4 linked regions of the Arabidopsis thaliana genome follow. The protein of the gene in region 4 purifies or fractionates together with the protein of the main gene of each other region. This does not show direct contact. Each region holds a gene or a part of one and is shown on either strand. Other genes may lie near its edges.

Evidence for each region.
Region 1: the proteins of PBD2 (region 4) and AT4G08140 fractionate together in Arabidopsis thaliana (co-fractionation; one large-scale study listed by BioGRID). This does not show direct contact.
Region 2: the proteins of PBD2 (region 4) and RPN5B fractionate together in Arabidopsis thaliana (co-fractionation; one large-scale study listed by BioGRID). This does not show direct contact.
Region 3: the proteins of PBD2 (region 4) and EMB2719 fractionate together in Arabidopsis thaliana (co-fractionation; one large-scale study listed by BioGRID). This does not show direct contact.

Annotation. Positions count from the first base shown.
Region 1 is NC_003075.7:5,133,640-5,137,090, reverse strand, and holds AT4G08140 (26S proteasome non-ATPase regulatory subunit-like protein), read right to left. Parts: upstream 1,419-3,451; coding exon 1,366-1,418; intron 1,231-1,365; coding exon 1,110-1,230; intron 1,032-1,109; coding exon 951-1,031; downstream 1-950.
Region 2 is NC_003076.8:25,892,718-25,898,254, forward strand, and holds RPN5B (regulatory particle non-ATPase subunit 5B), read right to left. Parts: upstream 3,870-5,537; 5' UTR 3,729-3,869; coding exon 3,726-3,728; coding exon of another isoform or gene 3,722-3,725; exon of another isoform or gene 3,623-3,721; coding exon 3,428-3,622; intron 3,268-3,427; coding exon 3,160-3,267; intron 3,048-3,159; coding exon 2,943-3,047; intron 2,845-2,942; coding exon 2,788-2,844; intron 2,684-2,787; coding exon 2,487-2,683; intron 2,344-2,486; coding exon 2,244-2,343; intron 2,150-2,243; coding exon 2,037-2,149; intron 1,936-2,036; coding exon 1,782-1,935; intron 1,684-1,781; coding exon 1,606-1,683; intron 1,529-1,605; coding exon 1,310-1,528; 3' UTR 1,063-1,309; downstream 1-1,062. Other genes in the region: ABR1 (Integrase-type DNA-binding superfamily protein), read left to right, coding at 203-939; RGF9 (root meristem growth factor), read right to left, coding at 4,964-5,127, 5,293-5,368. UniProt on the Arabidopsis thaliana protein: Acts as a regulatory subunit of the 26 proteasome which is involved in the ATP-dependent degradation of ubiquitinated proteins. Acts redundantly with RPN5A.
Region 3 is NC_003070.9:7,000,402-7,006,654, forward strand, and holds EMB2719 (PAM domain (PCI/PINT associated module) protein), read right to left. Parts: upstream 4,032-6,253; 5' UTR 3,910-4,031; intron 3,775-3,909; 5' UTR 3,754-3,774; coding exon 3,675-3,753; intron 3,582-3,674; coding exon 3,391-3,581; intron 3,200-3,390; coding exon 3,059-3,199; intron 2,970-3,058; coding exon 2,833-2,969; intron 2,732-2,832; coding exon 2,677-2,731; intron 2,589-2,676; coding exon 2,478-2,588; intron 2,111-2,477; coding exon 1,871-2,110; intron 1,521-1,870; coding exon 1,008-1,520; 3' UTR 686-1,007; downstream 1-685. Other genes in the region: AT1G20220 (Alba DNA/RNA-binding protein), read right to left, coding at 4,689-4,780, 4,861-5,094, 5,214-5,270, 5,378-5,434, 5,552-5,626, 5,714-5,778, 5,904-5,978, 6,109-6,197. UniProt on the Arabidopsis thaliana protein: Acts as a regulatory subunit of the 26 proteasome which is involved in the ATP-dependent degradation of ubiquitinated proteins.
Region 4 is NC_003075.7:8,497,919-8,502,997, reverse strand, and holds PBD2 (20S proteasome beta subunit D2), read right to left. Parts: upstream 2,733-5,079; 5' UTR 2,601-2,732; coding exon 2,443-2,600; intron 2,352-2,442; coding exon 2,228-2,351; intron 1,539-2,227; coding exon 1,491-1,538; intron 1,258-1,490; coding exon 940-1,257; 3' UTR 758-939; downstream 1-757. Other genes in the region: AT4G14805 (Bifunctional inhibitor/lipid-transfer protein/seed storage 2S albumin superfamily protein), read left to right, coding at 1-177, 264-320, 401-624; ATSUV3 (ATP-dependent RNA helicase), read left to right, coding at 3,169-3,232, 3,476-3,635, 3,779-3,900, 3,979-4,169, 4,252-4,392, 4,512-4,634, 4,820-4,897, 4,987-5,079. UniProt on the Arabidopsis thaliana protein: Non-catalytic component of the proteasome, a multicatalytic proteinase complex which is characterized by its ability to cleave peptides with Arg, Phe, Tyr, Leu, and Glu adjacent to the leaving group at neutral or slightly basic pH.

The sequences.
Region 1 (3,451 bases), 3.4 Mb from region 4:
AGCCAGCTAGTTATCAGGACCAAATCTTCTATTAGAGACCATTTGCGTCTTGATTTCCTCTCTGCAATTGGCGCTTCATCTTTCTCTTGATCATCAAACCAATGTACTAAACACATGGACATCAGATGATCCAAGTTCTATGTTAGGTGGAAAACGTTCAAACTGAATTGGTGGAATGGTTTGATTCTCTTGAAAGATGATTAGGGAAAGATTTAAAGGAATCCATAACCTTGTTTGGTTTGGTTGTTAAAAAGATAAGAGAAAGATTTTTCAGCTTGAAGTTATGTGATTTAAACTGTGTTTTTCAGCTTGAAGTTATGTTGTTAAATAGATGCGGTTTTAGAAGCTTCAAGTTAGGGTAGGGTGTTAAGTTAAAGCTCTTTGATATTGATCACAGAGAGCAATAAATCACATAGAGCTTTTACTTACACTTAACCTACCAAGCATTCAATAAAATAGACCATAACTATGATAATACTTTTACCCAATGTAAACCACTCCAAAATACACTAGTTAACATGCATTTATCACAGTTAAAAAACAGTTAGCTTTTATTGCTTAGACCAATTCAGAGAAATTTTGAGCGCAATAACTAAGAGAGAGCTTTTAAAAGCTTCAAGTTAGTATTAGGTGTTAGAATTTTTTTTTTTTTTTTTTTTTTTTTGATCAAAGGTGTTAGAATTTTATTTAACCATAGAGAACAAATACTTTCTTCTAAGCATTTAAAATATTAATGTAATGCTATCTCAACTCAAAAATATATTGCATTTAAACAGAGAAACAAATAAACTAATCAAAAGCAGACAACAAATAATCAAAACCGGACATCAAATAATCAAAAGCAGACATCAACTAATCAAAAGCAGACATCAAATAATCACATATCAAAAGCAAAATCAACAAATCAAACTCAGACAACAACTACTAGATGAATTAAAGAAGGCTCAGTTCTACCTTCGTGTTATCAAGAAATAGTGCAATCTGTAGAGCGTGGTAAGGGCCAGGACAGACAGGATATCAGAAATGTACTTCTGCAAACATAGCAAATGTAATTTTTAAGCCATACCAATATAAGAATTGTTAATAACTTGAAATCAATGATGACATACCTTGAGATTAGAATCAGCCATTGTTTCATGAAACGCTTTAAGAGTTACATACTGGGGACGCAGAAACTTTAGTGGTTTGGGAACTGAAGTCATTGAACTTGTTAAAGCTCGGATTTCCTGCCTACAAAACCAAAAAAAAATTAAAAACTCCAACAAGGGTAGAACACAAGGAGCAGAAAAGAAAGAAAAACTTTATAAATTATGAGCTTCAAAGACAGTAATCTGAAAACCCGAAGCTAATCAAGTCAAGAATTACCTCATACTCTCAAGAGCAGCCTTCTGCAAGTCCGGATTAGGATCCTGAACCATCTCAACATAGAGCTTAAGGTTCTGCTTTAGTTCCAAATCCTCTTAAGACTACAATCACAACCCAATGTAAGTCGAGTCATTAGTCCTGTGAACATATATAAAAAAAAAAACTCTCCTCACAGCACAAGTTAGCAACTTTTTAATCCGGCTATACTAATGACGAACAAAACATTCACTTTGAACATGCTTATTGTTTTGTTTTTGTATATCTCCTTATGCTTTGTAAAACCACGTACAATACTGTAATTGATATGTTCTCGTAATAAGAAAAGAATACGAACCCACTTAGTCTTCATAATTAGATTCATCATATCGAATCAAAGATGAAAAGATTTATTACAAAAATAAACCAAATTAAAACCGATAAATAAGTTTTTTTCTACTATAGACACAACATTCCAATTGCCATGGTGATTGAACAACCATAGGAAAAAACGATTATCATCTTCATTTCTTCTCTCTTTGTTCTTTTCCATCCTCTCTTTGTTCATTTCCATCTTCATCATTCTAACTTCCTCTTTGTAACGCCCGTGAACCGGAAAATCAGTTAGAGTTTGTTTTTAAATCATCCGGTTTAATTGATTGGGTTAATTGGAAACCTTAGAGTATGCCTATAAAAGAAGTAAACTCGAAATTAGGGCTTTGGTTAGCCACTTTTCGTTTTATAAAGGAGAAAAAGAGAGAAAAGGAGAACGAGCAGAATCGTTAGGGTTTGGGAGAAATCAGTTTCGTCATATCAAATCGTGGTAAAAGGTAACGAAATTTGGCAGAGTTATTCCCAAGTCCTTTATCGTTATTCTCCAATTTACAGAATTGGATTTGGATTCAAATTGGTTGAGTTATTCGCAGTTTCGTGAGACACGTTTTCTCAGACGCGAATTAGGACCAGCGGAGATTGAAACTGAGATCGTGGTCTCGTCTGTTTTCCGATCGGCACGAGATTTTGTGGTCAGCTTTGTGACGTCTGCAGCTAGGATTTCACCGGAGAGATTGAATAGTTAACGGTTAGTTTGTATTTGAGGGTTTCGTCTTTGAGACTGCTTGTTTCTGGTTTTTCCTGTCCAGTTTGCTTCAAGGTTGCTTTTGGTTGTGGACTTTTTGTAGGACGTTTCTGGACTGTTTCAGACGCAAGGAGAGTCTCTCCTGGGTTTAATTGCTATTAGAATCAATTTGTTAAGGTGAGTGCGTGACCATGAGCTTATCTGAGCGATAGGGTTGTGTGATTTGTTTTGTGTGATGATATGTAGGTGTGGTGAATGTGTTTTGGATGAATTGTTCAATGACTGGTTTGTTTGTATTGTATTCGTGATTATACCTTTTTATTTGCTTGTGTGTATAGCTCGTAGATGGGAGGATCGCCTCACTAAGTATTTATGATAATACTTACGCATCTCATTGTGTTGTTGATACAGGTAAAGATAAAGTGTGATCGTGGAATCATGGCAAGGAAGAGAGGATGATCTAGGAACTCGTTTGTTTTATTTTTGGTGTTTTTGGTTATTGGAACCCGGTTAGGATTGTTAGTTATTCTTGGTTTTGTTGGTCGAATTATTTATTTATTCATTAAATAGTATTTTTGACTTGTGGTTTAATTGTTATTCTATTGGTTGGTTTAATTAGATATTTATGGAAATATTTAATTATTTTTTTTAAAAAAAATGGGTCGGGTTGTTTCAATTTGGTATCAGAGCGATTACGGTTCTAAGATGTGTAGAAAAATTAATTGATGAATTATTTTCCTGTTGATTGATGTGGGATGAGCTAGGGTGTTAGCATATTGAGGATTGATTATGGAGTGTTTAGTCAATTGTGTGTTGTTGGAGTTCTAGCATCATCTTCTCCAAGCCTTAAATGAGATTCCACGGTAAGTTGTTTGTGATATATTCGTTTGTTTTAGTTTCTTAGCCATTTGTTTTTGAGTAGCGCAGATGGTTAGAGGAGCTGGAGTTCGTGGTCGTGGTCGCGGTCGTGGTCGCGGTAGGGGACGAGTCCTCGAGGGTACCGGCGAGAGTGATGGCCACAGTGCCACAGTT
Region 2 (5,537 bases), on a different chromosome or scaffold from region 4:
TTCCTTTTTTTTTCTACTTGTTCATTCCTTTTGTCACCCATTTGCCTCATCACTTTCTCATACTCGCTCTTAAAAAAAAAACTTTATAATATCTTTATTGGAGACATTAATATTATCGATTCTTTTTCTTATGTAAGAAAGTGTTAATTCACGAGTGACAACAAAAGTGTGAAATTTTACATGTTTGTTTGTTTATTTGCAGTGAGAGAAGCTTCGAGTAACATGTCAGGTCCGGGCCCAACATACGAGTATACAACTACGGCAACTGCTAGTAGCGAAACGTCGTCGTTTAGTGGGGACCAACCTCGGCGAAGATACAGAGGAGTTAGACAAAGACCATGGGGAAAGTGGGCGGCTGAGATTCGAGATCCATTTAAAGCAGCTAGAGTTTGGCTCGGTACGTTCGACAATGCTGAATCAGCAGCAAGAGCTTACGACGAAGCTGCACTTCGGTTTAGAGGCAACAAAGCCAAACTCAACTTCCCTGAAAACGTCAAACTCGTTAGACCTGCTTCAACCGAAGCACAACCTGTGCACCAAACCGCTGCTCAAAGACCGACCCAGTCAAGGAACTCGGGTTCAACGACTACCCTTTTGCCCATAAGACCTGCTTCGAATCAAAGCGTTCATTCGCAGCCGTTGATGCAATCATACAACTTGAGTTACTCTGAAATGGCTCGTCAACAACAACAGTTTCAGCAACATCATCAACAATCTTTGGATTTATACGATCAAATGTCGTTTCCGTTGCGTTTCGGTCACACTGGAGGTTCAATGATGCAATCTACGTCGTCATCATCATCTCATTCTCGTCCTCTGTTTTCCCCGGCTGCTGTTCAGCCGCCACCAGAATCAGCTAGCGAAACCGGTTATCTCCAGGATATACAATGGCCATCAGACAAGACTAGTAATAACTACAATAATAGTCCATCCTCCTGATGACTTGCTTCATTTTATTTGTTTCACTATAGAGTAATAGAAAACAGGAAAATGATTATATGTTATAGAGTTATTTTTCCAAATATTATAGGGTTTAGGTTGTTTGTATTGTTCTGCTTTCATCCTCTCATGCTTTTTTTCTTAATTTATTATATTTTTGCATTATAATTTCGTTTCATTGTAACAAACATTAAAAAGACCACATGGAGAAAGGAAAAAAAAGAGAGTTTTGTATATAATCTTGCAAGGTCTCCTAAAGAACACAAAAAAAATGTGTTCGAACCAAGCAGAGAAAGAAAACTCAAATGATTATGTTAGAACGAGAGCCTGAAAGATTCTTTCCACCGATGTGTGTGGCTAGACCGGGTTCTCAAGCTCTTAGTGCAACTTTATGAACCATTGTTTCTTTGTGAATTTGGTGACAACTCTTTTCAACAAGATCCAAAAGCTTCTCCAAGTTTGTTGCCCACGAGTTGAGGATTTCGTTGCTGTCTTTAACAATCTGGAAGCAGATTATTCCTGATGGTCTGTCGATTTTTGCTATCAAGGCTTTGGACACAACCATTTCAGATAGATGCTTCTCTGCTTCCTGAAATATAATGAAACGGTAAGAAGAGATTTAAACATGTACTGGTACACTTAAGAGTATTTTGAAACTATATTTACCTCAGTGGTTAGGCATAAAAGTTCTGCAAGTCTCTTAAAGGTAATCCTTGAGTAGTACTTTGAGACAACGAGAATATTCTGCAGAAGATGTGAAGAATTTGTAAAGTTAAGACTCTTCAGTAACAATTGATGCAATCAAAGAGGTAAAGATAGATTAGAGCTCAAAGAGTCTTTACGTGTTCGATTATTCTTAGTTTGAGATCTTCACCAGCTTTGTCACCCAAAGAGCCTCCAATCATGTTTTTCTCATTCTCAAACTCGTCCTTGTATTTATTCCAGAGAGATGTCCACTGAATCACCTCCATTGTAACAATCTGTTTTAGAAGCATCCTGCAACAGAATATAAACATAGGGATTGAGAATCTGTTTCAGATGGGAACGAGGGGAAGAGTAGTGAAAACCCAAATTTTTATCAAGATAAAGAGAATTACTTGAAATCAGGAATCTCTGATAACTTTTTATCTTCCAAGGTTGCATTGAGTAGGCTCGATTGCATTGGATCATGTGGTGCCAAGGCCAAAAACCAGCAAATCTTTCTCAGGACCTATATTTAGAGGATCAAGGGAGAAAAGTTAATCCAAGCTAATTACAGAACGTAGACTACCACAAGATCATCCAAACAACAATACGAGACTTACTGGAATCCATTGTTCTGGGTTTTCCTTTACAGAAGGGATATCATATATCGCCTTGTAGCTACGGCATATCTCAATGTACTCATTGTTGTGAGAATAATACCTACACAACAGAATCAGCACATTATATTTTTACTATAAAGATCACAGAAGTAAAGGGAAATCAAAATTCAGAGGAGAATAATATTCAAATATTTTGACACCAATAACTGGCGAAGAATGTATTAAACCAAATCAAGGACTTACCGAATCATTAGCTCATAGTAAATCCGTTTTAGCACCAACAATGTAGGTATATCAGCCGGAGCCTCCTCTACCATGTTTTCACCTTCCTTAGGCTTCTTTTTCTCCTTCGTGGTATCTGCATCAAACACTCTTGGGTTGATCTTCCTAGATAAAATTTGTGCACGGACAAAATCTTTTTGATCCAAACACAAGCGGACCTTCAGAAGTTTACACACCAATAATTAGAATCACAACATACAAACAAGAACAAAGCACAAAGCACAAAGCTTAAGAAATATGAAAAGATAACAGAAAGTCTTACTTGTTCAAGAATGAAAGCAATTTTCTCAGTTTTTGCCATAGCACCAAATGTCTCCACCTATAATTCATAATCACAATCAATGCACATTGATAAACTATAAAATAAATAAAAAACGATTTCCACGAAAGTTGGAAAGTAGAGGAAGAAAAGCTTACAGCAACTTCTTGCATGAGATCCGCAGCTTCAGCAATCAAACCTTGTTCTTCCTTAATCTTAGCAAGCATCTTGGTCAAACGAGCTCTCTCGATTTCGACATATATCTACACATGCTCACACACACATATTCATCAAGAAAAAAACTTGCACGGAGTGATCAAGATTCAAGCAAATATAACTACAACAACAACAACAATAGCCAACTCTAATCCGCACCTTTCCAGCAGCTACATTGTTTAGAGTCTTAATAAGCTCAATCCGAGTTTCTATGTCTAGTGTCTGATCAATATACTGCATTGCTTGTTGCACCATGGATTGTACAGCCTGCAAATCAAGAGACCTAACCACTTTCAATATCTCACTCAGTTCTTCATTCAATTTCTCAGTAAGATTCAGAACTCAGTAGAAACCGTTCCAAGTAATCGAAAACCTTAAACTACCACAAGCAGGTTTCAAAAGCTAAATCGATAGAAAGTAGTGTGACCTGCTTAAGCTGACCACGTTTCTTCGAGAGATTCAAAATCTGTTCGTTGAGAAGTTTCCAATCCTTAGCTTCGAAACAAAGCTTAAGAATCTCGGTAGCTGCTTTTCTAGTTCCGGCGACATTTTCTGCGAGCCTCATCTGTTTCTCTTCGTTCAGCAGCCGATCAATCGACGATTCGAGTTGTCTACTTTCTTCCTGCAATCAAATCACGACATCGAATTTGACAAACCAAAATTCGAACGGAAGAGAAAAGAGAGAGAGAGAGTTGAAAATCAGATCTGTGAAATCGGAGACTTGCCATTGCTAAACGCCGGGAATCAATACTCCGAGAGAGAGAAGAAGAGTTAGTGAAACTTTCCGGTGATGAAACAGATTTAACTTCTAAAGGTTCACTGAGAGAGAGAATGTTAGCGTCGAAACCCCAACCCCTTGAACAAGAAAAGCTTAGCTCAGACTATTTGGGCCTAATTATAACGTTTTATTTATTGGGACTTTTAACGAAATAGTGTAAGACTTTTGGTGTACATATGTAATAAAAGTATCTATTGGGTCTATTAGGTAAATATTGAATAAACCTACCTGTCGCCTGTAGGGTCATACCCAAATAGCTGTTGGGTAATATGTTATGAACGAAACTATAGGATCCATTTGTAATAAATGAAAATCTAAGGTCCATATGGCCCATTTGAGTAAGTTTTTTAAGGCCCATTATCGCTCGAGCCTCGGCAACTCTCTAACAGTAACAGAAAATCCATCAATTGCTCGGATTTATTTTTCTTTCTTTTGAATCCTTCCACTTGCAGTAGAGAAATTTCACCATGATTTTACTGACTTATAAGACTAATTTATATGTTAAGACAAGGATTATTGTTTGTGGAACTACAAAATTAAGACACTAATGAATTTAAGTTCTATCCTTCTAAATGAAAGAAGTTTGGAGACTGAAAACCAATCGATATTTGTCGAAAACTTTGATCCCATATATTATTTGGTATGTTGCCTAGTTTTTCCAAAGTCCTATTACTTTAAATTATAATCTATTTGATTGTATTTTGGTATATGCATATTTTGATATCAAATATCCACAACACCTTCATGGGATGGGAGCTTCCGTAGGTTTGAATTCGATATATAAAATCAGCAAATACTCTTTTGAGGTGTAATTTTATTTTATTGGAACTAATACTACAACAGAGTTAAAGAAGATATTTGTGGGTTTCTATATACACATAATATATTATAGAGTTTTATTTCACAAACAGAAAACCATGATGCAATCCATACATAAAGCTAGCACACACAAGCTATGATTATTGTATAGAACTGTTTTCCCTCGAGATAATACTGTACACATGCATACAAAGTCGTTTATATTTATATGTTCCTATAAATAATAATAGTTTACATTCTCACTTCTTTTCTTATATAAAATACATTCTCACTTCTTATAATTTATGTTTAGTAAAAGATAAAATCTCGGGATATCTTTGGATCTCAGGATATCTCACAAGAATTCGATAAGTTCATGTGTGTTTATTAGCGATTGTGTATCGGTCTTTTCTTGTTCGCAGAATTATAATCCATATCCATCAATCCATCAACATCACTTCCTCCACCTTCGTGCCTTATTTTCCGACTCTCTTGACTCTTCTCCACAACCAATAGCGTTCTATTCCTTACTACTTCTCGTAAGCTTCGTGCTAAAAAATCAAAATGTTTATATATCAAGAACTCATTATTGGGTAATATATTTTGATATTCAACCAAAAAACAAGAAGAAGATTCATTCAAATTATACTTGATATAGCTAGAAACTCGTGAGGTGAGCGCGCTTGTGTGTATATATATATTAGCTATAAATTTACCTTGAGTAGGAGAGGAAATGAAGAGTATGAGAAGAAGTGCGACGAGGAAAGACTTGTGGGAAACCCTAATTGCCATTTTTGGAAGAGAGTTTTTTTTCTTTGGTTATATAGAATTATCTTTTGTTGAACCTTTTTGTGTTTATATATAGAGATGAATGATTCTATGATCAGTTTATGGTCCCAATTTTATATCGGAATTGAATAACGTTTTGGAAGTTATTGAGACATATGGGTCTAAGGATTTG
Region 3 (6,253 bases), on a different chromosome or scaffold from region 4:
CACAGACTCTCACATGCTCACTTGTCCTACATTATTAGCAACACGCCAAATCTCTTTCATTATCATTATGATTATTTTTTTGGGTTAATTGTCCCTCAAAACTTGATTTCCAATCAAAGTTGATGAAGATCACCGTCACGACGTCGTTTGTTACGAACACTTCCGTCAACTTAACACTTGTTCGTTGTCACCAACATATGAAAAATCGTGGACTGCAAAGTCTGCAATCCGAAATCCAGACTACACTACCAAGTAACTTCCGCAGTAAGAAAACAAAATATGGATACTGGATACAACAAGATTAAGGAATTGAGGAGCTTGTTTGGATATGATTAGAGTGTAAGAATATATTGACCCATTACAAATCTACAATTATGAAAATTACATTTTGATTGTATGGATTAAATAGTTGGCAGTTGTAGCTATCAAAGAGCCCGGGTATTATTCTACAGATTTTTGTCATTATTAAGAAGTTAATGAATCGAACCAGAAACACCTATAATTAAAAGCATAACATGAGATTGTTTTATTCAAGAAAATGAGACCTAGTTTGGCAGAGATAGACTAATGTATCAATACACATAATGGTCAATACACATGTCCTGTTTTCATTCTTTAGATATTTATGACTGCTTATCTATCATTTAATGTAAATTATGAATGTGGATTTTAATGGTATGCATCGCCTGGAGATGATAGCATTTCACATGGTCAATTTCTAATAATGACCCACCTAATACAGCTAGCTATAACTACAAGTGTTCAATTCTTAAAATGCGAAAATCTCCCAAACACAATTAAACGAAGTTGAATTTGATCTTCTGAAACCAACAAGATAAATATCTTTTCCTAAAGTGAAACCAGAGTAATAAAAAGGTTCCTGAGGATAAAAATCCTCAATAAAGAAACACTTAGAGACGATGAGAAGAGTACCAAGTAAACTTGTGAACATAAAAAAAGTGAGACAGATGGAGAGTCAACTCTTATAAGAAATAGATGACCTTTGTCTAAAAATCATCATCGTCTTCCTCAGCCATATGCTTAGCAAGCTCTTCTTCCTGTTGCTTCCTCTCTCTCCTCTTCTCATCGCTTTCTTTCTCCTTGTGAGTGTTAGGAGGAAACCTCAATGCTCTGACAGCTTCGTTATGCATGTTGAGGCAGAAAGCAATTCTTGAGTTGAACGCAGTTTGTGGCTCATTCGTCGAGTAGATGTCCCCAGTTTCTTTGGAGACCATGCATCCGTTTTTGTGATCGATTGTAGCATCAATAGCTCCGTCGCGTATGGCCTTTGCCACGATGCTTTCCGCATCAGCCACAGGGTTTTCAGAGTTGAGCCTCAGCTTTTTGGCAACATCGGGTAAAGAGATTCTTGAGTAGGAGATACTTATGTTCCGCAGTCCAGTCCTGATGACATTGTGGCGGAGTCGCACGATGAGATTGTGCGTTCTGTCTTGAGCAAATGTGTCCAAGAACTTCTCCTGGACTGTCCTAAACAACTCCAAGTCCCCAATCCTAACCGCCTGTAAAATCAAAACAGAGCTTTAATAGTAAGCCTCAGATCAAAATCAGTATCAACTATCCAGTTGCATCATATATCTCTAAAAAGCAACAGTAAACAGCCAGAAATTCATGTTCAATATAATTCGAAGGAGCAGAAAACAACAGCAGCAACAAAATTGTGTTTCAAGTGACCACAGAGAGATTTTAACAGAAGAGGTGTATAGGCCAGTAAGTGAAAAGTAGGAACCGGTTTAAAATCAGAAGTGAAGTAGCAAGATCACAAGTGACCACATACTAATACCAGTTTAGTTATCCGCTCATAAATTAATGAATACATGTCACAGCAGCAAGATTATGAAAGTGGACTCACATTTGTTAGCTCGAAGTAGGGTCTGAGGGCCTTCTCCATACCCTTTTGAGTGAAGATAGAACGCTCTGGTATCTCACCCAGCAGTAGACGAACCAGAATTGCCCATTTATTGCATTGGATCCTGAAGCCCAAAGCTGCTATAGGGGCTTTCCTGGCCGCCTGAAGAAGGCTCTCTTTTGCGTCCGTATATTCGAGCTGAATAGTACGAATCTTCCCGAGATAGAAAAGGTACCTACAAAACTGCAAAGTATAATGTTTTAGACAAGTCATCTTGCTGTTTATTCTTTTGAAACAGTAACAATTGAAGGGTTAAAAAAAGAACAAAATTCATATGTAGCAAAGAAAAACACAAGGTAGATCGATGGTAATGGTAAGAGGTGGTGTCAGAAGTATGAAAAGGACAGGCAAAATGGACACTTCAAGTAAGTTCGGCAAATAATTAGTGATTGAAAAGAAAACACAAGAGCCTCCTAGATGGAAAATGCTATAGCGAATAGAAAAAATAATTCTCTGGAAAGATTGCAGAAGTGGCATTGGAGTTTTCATGCAAATATAGAATCTAGAGAACCGAGAAAACTTAGAGTATGAAGGAATAGCCAAGAGCTACCTGTTGGTTTGAATGAGCCTCAAAGCGAGGTGCCTTTGATCTTAGCTTCTCTGCCTGATCATAGAGGTTGTAATGCAAATAGTTACGTAGCAACAGGTTCAGAAGGGTTTCCTGCATTCAACATGATAAATTTGAATAAGAAGCAAGTAACAGTTTCAAAATAATGAATGCCGACTGAATGAGCTAAACAAAGACATACCTGACCCAGCTCATCGTGTCTTAGCGTTGCAGAATGATGCAACGCAAGAAGAGTACTGCAGGTAGAAAAAATGACCAGATTATTAACTATTGAGCTACTGATTAATATGAGGTGTAAGACAAAGTACAAAACTAAAACAGTCTTTGAGCTACTAACCCGCGAATTTCAGCAAGATCACCGGTTTGCTCATAACTCAAAGAATAGTAAAAGTAGAGTCTTGATGCTATCACATCAATGGTCCTTCGGTTGACGTTCTTGAGACGAGCAATGCTTGCTGAAGAACAAGCTTTAGCCTAAGAGATGATTAAAAGCAACTCATTAAAATTAAAATCACAACAGAAAAGTAACTTATGACAAAACACAAAGATACAGCAGTAGTTACCTCGTTGTACTTCTTCTGATCAATCAGAAAAAGAAGAACAATGAAGTAGCAGTAGATCTCGAGCTCTGCAGGTAGATGCTTAGAAGGAGCAGCTTGTGTGGCCGATGAGGCAGTATCAACTTCCATGTCATGTTCATCACCCTAAACCATTAAAAGTTCCAATATTTCAGTCTCTAAGCCAGTTGTATGTTAGATAACTTGCCATTCACAACATCAAAAGAAAGTATAACAACCATAACACGAATCTAAACAACCTAAAGCCAGATGCTAAAAGGAACAACCAAGTTGAGAATTCTGAAACATCAAAGTGAAGAAGTAAAACCCACAAATACCTTAGGAACAAAGGAAGAGAGGCGAGAGTGAGCTTCGGATCCTGGAACCAAAGCAAAATCCAGGAAGGAAGAGAGCACAGAGCCGGTGAGTTTCTGCCTAAGCCCTATAGTGAGACGCACAGCACGAGCAATACGACGAACCTCCTTCGTGTAAGACCCAGTATCGATGAGTGCTGCAATCTCCTTCAAATCTGGGAAACAAAGAAACAAAGCGTCAAAACCCAGAAGAAACTTAGCAATTATGAAAACAGTTCGAGAATTAAAGCATTCAGATCGAGATTTACTCTGCATAGTAGAGGTAGAAGAAGAGATAATCGATTGAGAAGGGGTGTTGTTATCTTTCATCTCCACGTCCTGAGTCATCTTTGCACAAATCTCGTTACTCTTCACAAAGACAAAAACAAGGTTAGGGTTTTTGCAGAAGTATGCAACTAAGCCGGTGAGATTTCAAGGAACCGATTGAAGTTTCAACCAATTTGTTGACTGAGAAAGACGGAGAGATAAAGACAGAGAGCTTACTAAATCGATAAAACGGAATTCGCCGGGAGAAAGTGACGATGATGGATCAGATTTAAGGACGAGCTGATGCTGCTGAGACTCTTTTCTTTCCTAAGTATTTTCCTTTTTTTGGACACAACAAAAAAAGTATATTTCTTTTTGTTCAAGACAGCTTTTTTCCATATTAGTATTTATATCTTCTACATTACGATTGAGCAACAAATGTCGTTGTAGTATAGTGGTAAGTATTCCCGCCTGTCACGCGGGTGGCCCGGGTTCGATCCCCGGCAACGGCGATTAACTTTTTGGTTACTAGTTTTGTTTGGACCTCTCTCACTTATTTTCGTACGCTTTCTTCGAATAGCCCAAAACACAACCAGCGCAAGTTGGGTTAATTTCTTTTTGTCTCAAAACACGTTGGAACTTGGAATTACAATTTTATTATTCATTATTTTTTCTTGTTATCTTTTTATGTTGTTAGAATATATAATCAACTGATATACGAACCAATGGAAAAAGGCAATGCCAAAGGGGGTTGTTTACTTGTTAGTGTCAATACGCCGACGAATGTAATTGGAGTCAAACAAATATCCAAAACTCAAAAAAGAGACAAAACTAGAAAACTCTTGAAGGAATAAAAACTTGAAAATCCAAGATCCATGATAAAATAAATGAGGATATATATAACCTAAAGCGACATGAACGAAAGATTATTCTACGGCAACAAGTTGCTTTGAAGAACAGAGACAAAAACATGAGAATGTAAGAAAGATCCAACTTCATTCAATGACCCTGGTCGCTCATGCAGCAGCCTGGATAGGTGCTCCATTTGATCTGTTGAATCCACCACGGCCTCCTCCTCTTCCACGACCTCCCCTTCCACGGCCACGTCCTGTTCCAACAATTTTTAAACATTTACAACTCATCATTATTTAATGAGAAAACATTAGTGTAACAAAATCATCAACGTACCACGTCCCTGAGGCGGAGGACCATCATATCCATGGTCTGCTGGAGGAGCAACATTGTTGTATCCATAGTCTCCTCCATCTTGTTGAGCTTCATAGTAAGGTGGTGGGGGGCCATTGTAACCTCCTCTTCCTCGACCACCACGTCCACCTCCTCTCCCACGCCCGCGTCCTCTGCCATATGACCGGTCCTGCTCCATACCTCCATCATTATACTCATTGTTCACATATCCACTTCCTGGCAAATCCGAAAGAAGAAATAGCACAAGCCAATCAAACACTTGTCCGCCGATCACATGCAAATATGTTAAAAGGTAAAACTAAGATTTGGAAAGAAATATTCTAAAGCAATTCTACCTCTGCCGCCTCTTCCCCTTCCTCCATCATCATACTCATTGTTCACATATCCGTTTCCTGGTAAATCAAACAAAAAAAGAAATAGCACAACACATTCAAACCCTTATCCACAAATCATATGCAAAAATCTATACTCAAATACGATTTGGCTAAAGATATCCTACCTCTGCCACCTCTTCCCCTTCCTCCATCATCATACTCAACATTCGCAGGTCCATTTCCTGATAAGTCGAAAAAAGGAATTAGCACAGTCCACTCAAACGCTTATCCACAAATCACATGCAAAAGCTTACAACGAAACTACGACACTGTATAAACAATTTCTAAAGTAATCCTACCTCTACCACCTCTTCCCCTTCCCCTTCCTCTTCCTCCTCTACCTCTTCTTCCTCCTCTGCCTCTAGGAGATCCGTCTACAAGAAAGAGATAATTTAAAAACTTAAAAAAGACAGCAGGGCAGGGAGCTTAAAAACGTCATTAAGAGTGAGACTCTAAAATACCTTGCCCTTCGTAGTCAATCTCAGCCAATGGCTTCACCATCTCAATAGGAATCGGACACTGGTACCTATAGCATTATTTAATAAGATATATTAGCATTGGAGACAATGTACCTCTCTAGACACAAAACAACAAAATCCCCAATAAGAGAATAGACGAGAAATAGCAAAACAACCAGTCCTAGAAACTCACCCAACTGAGGATGTGTTCAACTGCTCCTTGGAAAGTGTTATGGTTATCATCGACACATGCCTCGTGGTCTCAATTCTTCAGGAGAAAAAGATGAGTTTTAATAAATAACAGGTCAAAGTAACAAAATTAAGAATACAACATGGTTACATGTGTTCCGGTACACTTAAAACAATAAACTTGATACTAAAGTCTAGTGACCACATACGTTTGAAGGCCTTCCTCTGTAGGTTCCCAGGTATCTGTAATGTCCGTTGATCCAATAGATGTGATCTGATGAAGACCAGGAATCCTTCTCTGCATCAAGGATAACAATATAATCTTCAGATACACAAAAGAACTACAACTCTGAG
Region 4 (5,079 bases):
GCTGCTCGGTTTTTACCTCCTCCGTTCATTCTAGCACCGGAAACTGTCTCTGTTATCTTCTCCGGCAGCCGATGATCCTTGGATTCCCGTTGGATAGATCTAGATTGATTTCTCTTTCTCAGATCTGTACCGATCAGAATTCCGAAGAATCTTTCGAATCTCTCTGTTCGGTATCAGGTTAATTTCGAATCCTCCTATGTAATTGAATCGATTGAATTCGAATCTCAGATGTGTGATTTCTATGGTTTTGATCTGTGGTGCAGAGTCGCCGGAGCTTCCTCCGCTTCAGAGTATTCAGTTCACAAATCCGTTTGTTTCCGGTAAGAAACGGATTATTCCGGTGGATTCTGTTTTAAGTTTCGTTGACATGTAACTTGCTTCATTCATTCATATTCTGCAGGTAATAATGTTTCTGCCTCTCCTCAATCAGTCGACTTAGCACCGGAAGTTTCACCAAGCTCCGATCTATTCTCACCGGAAACAGCCACCCTAGCACCACCACCACCACCACCACCACTACCAGTTCTACAATACTTCTCAAGCGACTCTCTCAAGATCAGAAACTTCTGGTTTCCATCGACTATCATCATGACTTTTGCCACTTCTATTCTCGCTCGTATCTGAACTGTTTTAAGCTCTCTGTGCTTTTTACTGCTTATGTTTACTTCATTGATACTTAAGATTTTACCATTGGGCTTGTGTTAAAGTCTTCCCTATGTAGAAACGCAGAGAATAGAGATGATATAGTAGAAGAAGATGTTTAGGTTTACATTGCACTATCTTTTGCTTCATATACGCAATAAGGAAAGAAAAAGTTCAACACATGCATATCATCATCATTATCTAGGAACTTTAATATCCAGGGAGCTTGAAGTTCAACAGAGAATATAAATGTGAGCCGAGTAACATAAATGGACTAATAAACACAATGAAAACAACTTAGGCATCAGCAGTGCTGATACGCCATCCGTACTCACGGGCTCCGTCCTTGTCAACAATCTTGATAACAAAGTTTGGTGGTGCAATGACCAGCCTTGACCTGATCTCGAGTATGCATTTGTCCACCAATTCAATGGCTTCTTCAACAGACATGTCGCTGCGGTAGTGTCTGTCCATTGTAGAGAGAGAGAAGTATGAGCCGTATCCAAATGCTCCCTTATCAACCTTGTGGAGGGTTGCAATGTAGTCAATGTAGTATAGAGATGCGCCGGCTTCTTTGTCATAGCCAGCCATCAGGATGTTCACCGAATATGGATTCTGGAATCAAATAGAACAGACAACAATGGGAAATCTCAAAATGTCAAGTGCGAATATGCAGACCAGTCCTAAACAACCCAAAAAAATCCAGGGAATCAATCAGATCATTTAACAATCTATAGCTAAGGCTACATGGGTATAAACCCCACTCAACACTGTCCAAAGTTGGAAGATCTACCCTAAACCGGTAAAAATGATCACACATCAGTTAGCCTTGAGTATCAGATTTTCACCATCAAGACACAGAAGTCAGAGTAACCTTGGAAGGTAGCACAAAATTCCTAGTCTTGTAAATTCTTAGTTAATGAAATAATATTACTTATCAAGCTTGGCATAAGAAAACTATTAAGCTGTAATCCGAGTTTCATCTTTTCTGCATCATAATTCTAAATTTCATAACTTCGTCCAACTCAAAGATAATCTTCTGTAACATCCAAGGACATAAAACTGCAACAATGTGTAGAATAGTCTGAAATACCTTGAATATTTCTAAAGGCCACACTATGTCTACATAATGAACACATTAGGTAAAGTTTCTAATGGCATTTAGCTACTCTGAGGTAATGAATATTAACAAGTATTAGAACTACCTGTATCAACAATGGTTTTACACCACCATACAAGAGGAAGTGAAACACAAAGGCTTATATAAACTTATCAACAAGTATTAAGCATCAAACATCTTAACACAATCAAAACCATAGTATGACAGAGGAAAGCTTCAAAAAAATTGACATGTTTAACTAAAGAAGAAAGACAAGTTCAACTACATTGCATCAAAAGAGGAAACTAAAAAACCAAGAATAAGCACTAAGCACCAATCGCTGATCTGATGATACCCCACAATCTCACTATTTCATAAAAGTATATGTACCTCAAAGAGATTAAAACCCTAATTCCCCAAATCTAAAATAAGGCAGAGAAACTTCTGAAATAAAAAAATAAAAAACCGTAGAAGAAAAGTTAGAACCTTTCTCAAAGCAGTGGCAAGTTCTCCACGAGTGAAGTTAGCAGCAGCAGCAGTACTCAAAGGAATCCCATTACGAAACTGATACAGTGACACATTCTTCTGAACATACTCCGTAAACTGAACCCTAAAGTAAATCCAAAAAAAAACAGAAATCAAATTCATGTACTACTACTACTGAATCACAGACAGAGAGAGAGACGGAGAAGTTTTTTTACCGGTCACCAGGCTCACCACTAGCGGCGACGAGCTTGTGAGAGTCAAGAGTCATGATCTTGTCCTCTTTGTTCTTGTGAAGAAGAATACTGTGAACTGCTGATGTATCCGCCGCCACGATAGCGAATCCATTCCCAACTAGACCAAATACACACTCCATCTTCAGATCTGTTTCTTCTCAGTTCCTTTTTCGAATTTTTCGATTCCGATTATTCGTTTCTTCCGGTCGCTGGAAGAATAGTTTAAGAGCTTTTTAGATCAAAGCGACTTGGCGAACAAGACGGGTTGATTTGGTAGTTCTAGAATATAGTCAGGGGTATTTTAGACATATTAACGTTATGGGGACATTTCTATTTTTTAAAGTAGGAGGGTGTAAGAGAGAGTAATAGGAAAAGCTTAGGGGTTAATTTGTAAATTAAAAAGGAACCTCTCGTTTTCTTCTCTCTCCCGCTTCTTGCTGAGTCGCCGACCCTCTGAGAAGAATAAGGTCTAACAATGGAAGTCTGAGATGGTTTCTTCAGTTTCTAATTATAAAAGAGAATTTGGTTTTAATTTCTCTTTATTGTTTATCTCGTCCTCGATTTCAAGAGTTTGATTTCTGTAACTTTGAGCTTCCTTCAAAGCAAATGAAAGGTGTCGTCGTGAGTATACTCGAATTGTATTTCCCATGGTGAATAAAGGATAAGAAAGTGTTGTGTCTTCATTTCAATAGATAAAACAATCTAAACATGGCGTATTCTGTTGTTCGGCTTCGAAAGGTTTCAGCTTTGGGGATTTCTCGTGTTCTTCAAGGTTGGAGCTTTTAAACCCTTTTTTTCTCTGTTTTCTGGTTCTCTTTTGGTTAGAAATTGCGGATTGTAGTTTGTAAGTGATCTTAGAAAGGAACTATCAGAAATTTTGATCATCTGGATACAGAAAGTTTGAACCTTTATGAGCTTTGCAGCTTCTACATCTGTTTCTGTGTAGTGTCTAGAAGAAGATTGGATTGGTTTAACGTTGTATCTTATGATGGCTTCGTGTTGCCTAATGTTTCAGCTGATAAAGGAAGTTTGTGGCGGTTTCACTTTGAACCTGAGTTTGGTGACCTTTTGAGATTAGGTGTCTTGACTAGGAATTATAGAAAGAACTCTGGATCTCCAAAGTTTGATTTCACTGGCACTGGAACCACCTCAAAGTTCGATTTCACTGATCTCACGTAAGAGTAAAACTTCTTGTAGAATTTTTTTGTTAGCTCCCCAGTAGCAACTAATTGCGATTCTCTTTGCAGTTCCATTGTTGTTGTGGAGAGATTAGTAAAGAGGAACTGATTTATATTTCTGTCATTACTTTGAATTCTAGCTGTCCTCATACATGGTATCCTATAGCTCGGAAGAAGAAGCGTAAGGTCATTCTACATGTTGGCCCGACAAACAGCGGGAAGACATATAGTGCCCTTAAGCACCTTGAACAGAGTTCTTCAGGTATGCCTTGAAGGTGACTAATAAACCTTTTGGAAGCCAGTTCTTGAACTGTTTAAAATTTGCTTCTTTCACTTGAAGGTGTATATTGTGGTCCGTTAAGATTGTTGGCATGGGAGGTAGCTAAACGGTTAAACAAAGCAAATGTTCCATGTGATTTGATCACGGGACAAGAGAAAGACTTAGTGGAAGGGGCAACACACAAAGCTGTGACAGTTGAAATGGCTGATGTTACATCTGTCTACGATTGTGCCATCATTGACGAAATTCAGGCTAGTCTTGCTCGACTTTGGCTTAAGAAATCGACAAGAACTTTTTGTTTGTTATTCTCATCCTTTCTTTCCCTAATTTCAGATGGTGGGATGTAAACAAAGGGGATTTGCATTTACTCGTGCTTTACTTGGAATCGCGGCTGATGAGCTACATTTATGTGGCGATCCAGCTGTCGTACCTCTTGTTGAAGATATACTGAAAGTAACTGGAGATGATGTCGAGGTATCATGTTTATTCGAGCTAGAGTCCCTTTTTCTTCTCTAATTATTTCTTGTTTATAATTAAATACCAATACTCTTGATGTAATCACGACCTCTTGATCCCTTTTATTTTGAATTCAGGTTCATACCTATGAGAGGCTTTCACCATTAGTCCCTTTGAAGGTTCCTGTTTCATCAGTTTCCAGTATTAAAACTGGGGATTGTCTTGTCACTTTTTCCCGAAAAGATATATATGCGTATAAGGTTAGCAGTTACTTATCTTGTTCTCTCTTCCTGTATTTTGCTTTTTTCTGCTTGAGTTTGCTGCGAAAGAAATAGAACATTTTGGCATCATATTATATGCATACATAGCTCTATTCTCTACGCGTCATGAGTATTGAATGCTTCCATACATATTCTTTACTCTTTTTTTTGGTACCTTTTCGTAGAAAACAATTGAACGTGCGGGGAAGCATCTTTGCTCTGTGGTTTATGGTTCGTTGCCTCCAGAGACTCGCACGGCACAGGTTTGAGTTCCTTACTGTCTTGGCTATAGGCTTAACTGGATGCTCTAAGAATTATCTTTTTTTGTTTCCAAATGCTTTAAAATCTGCAGGCAACAAGGTTTAACGATGAGACCAATGACTTTGATGTGCTTGTTGCCAGCGATGCGATTGGCATGGGTCTTAATTTGAATATTTCAAGGATT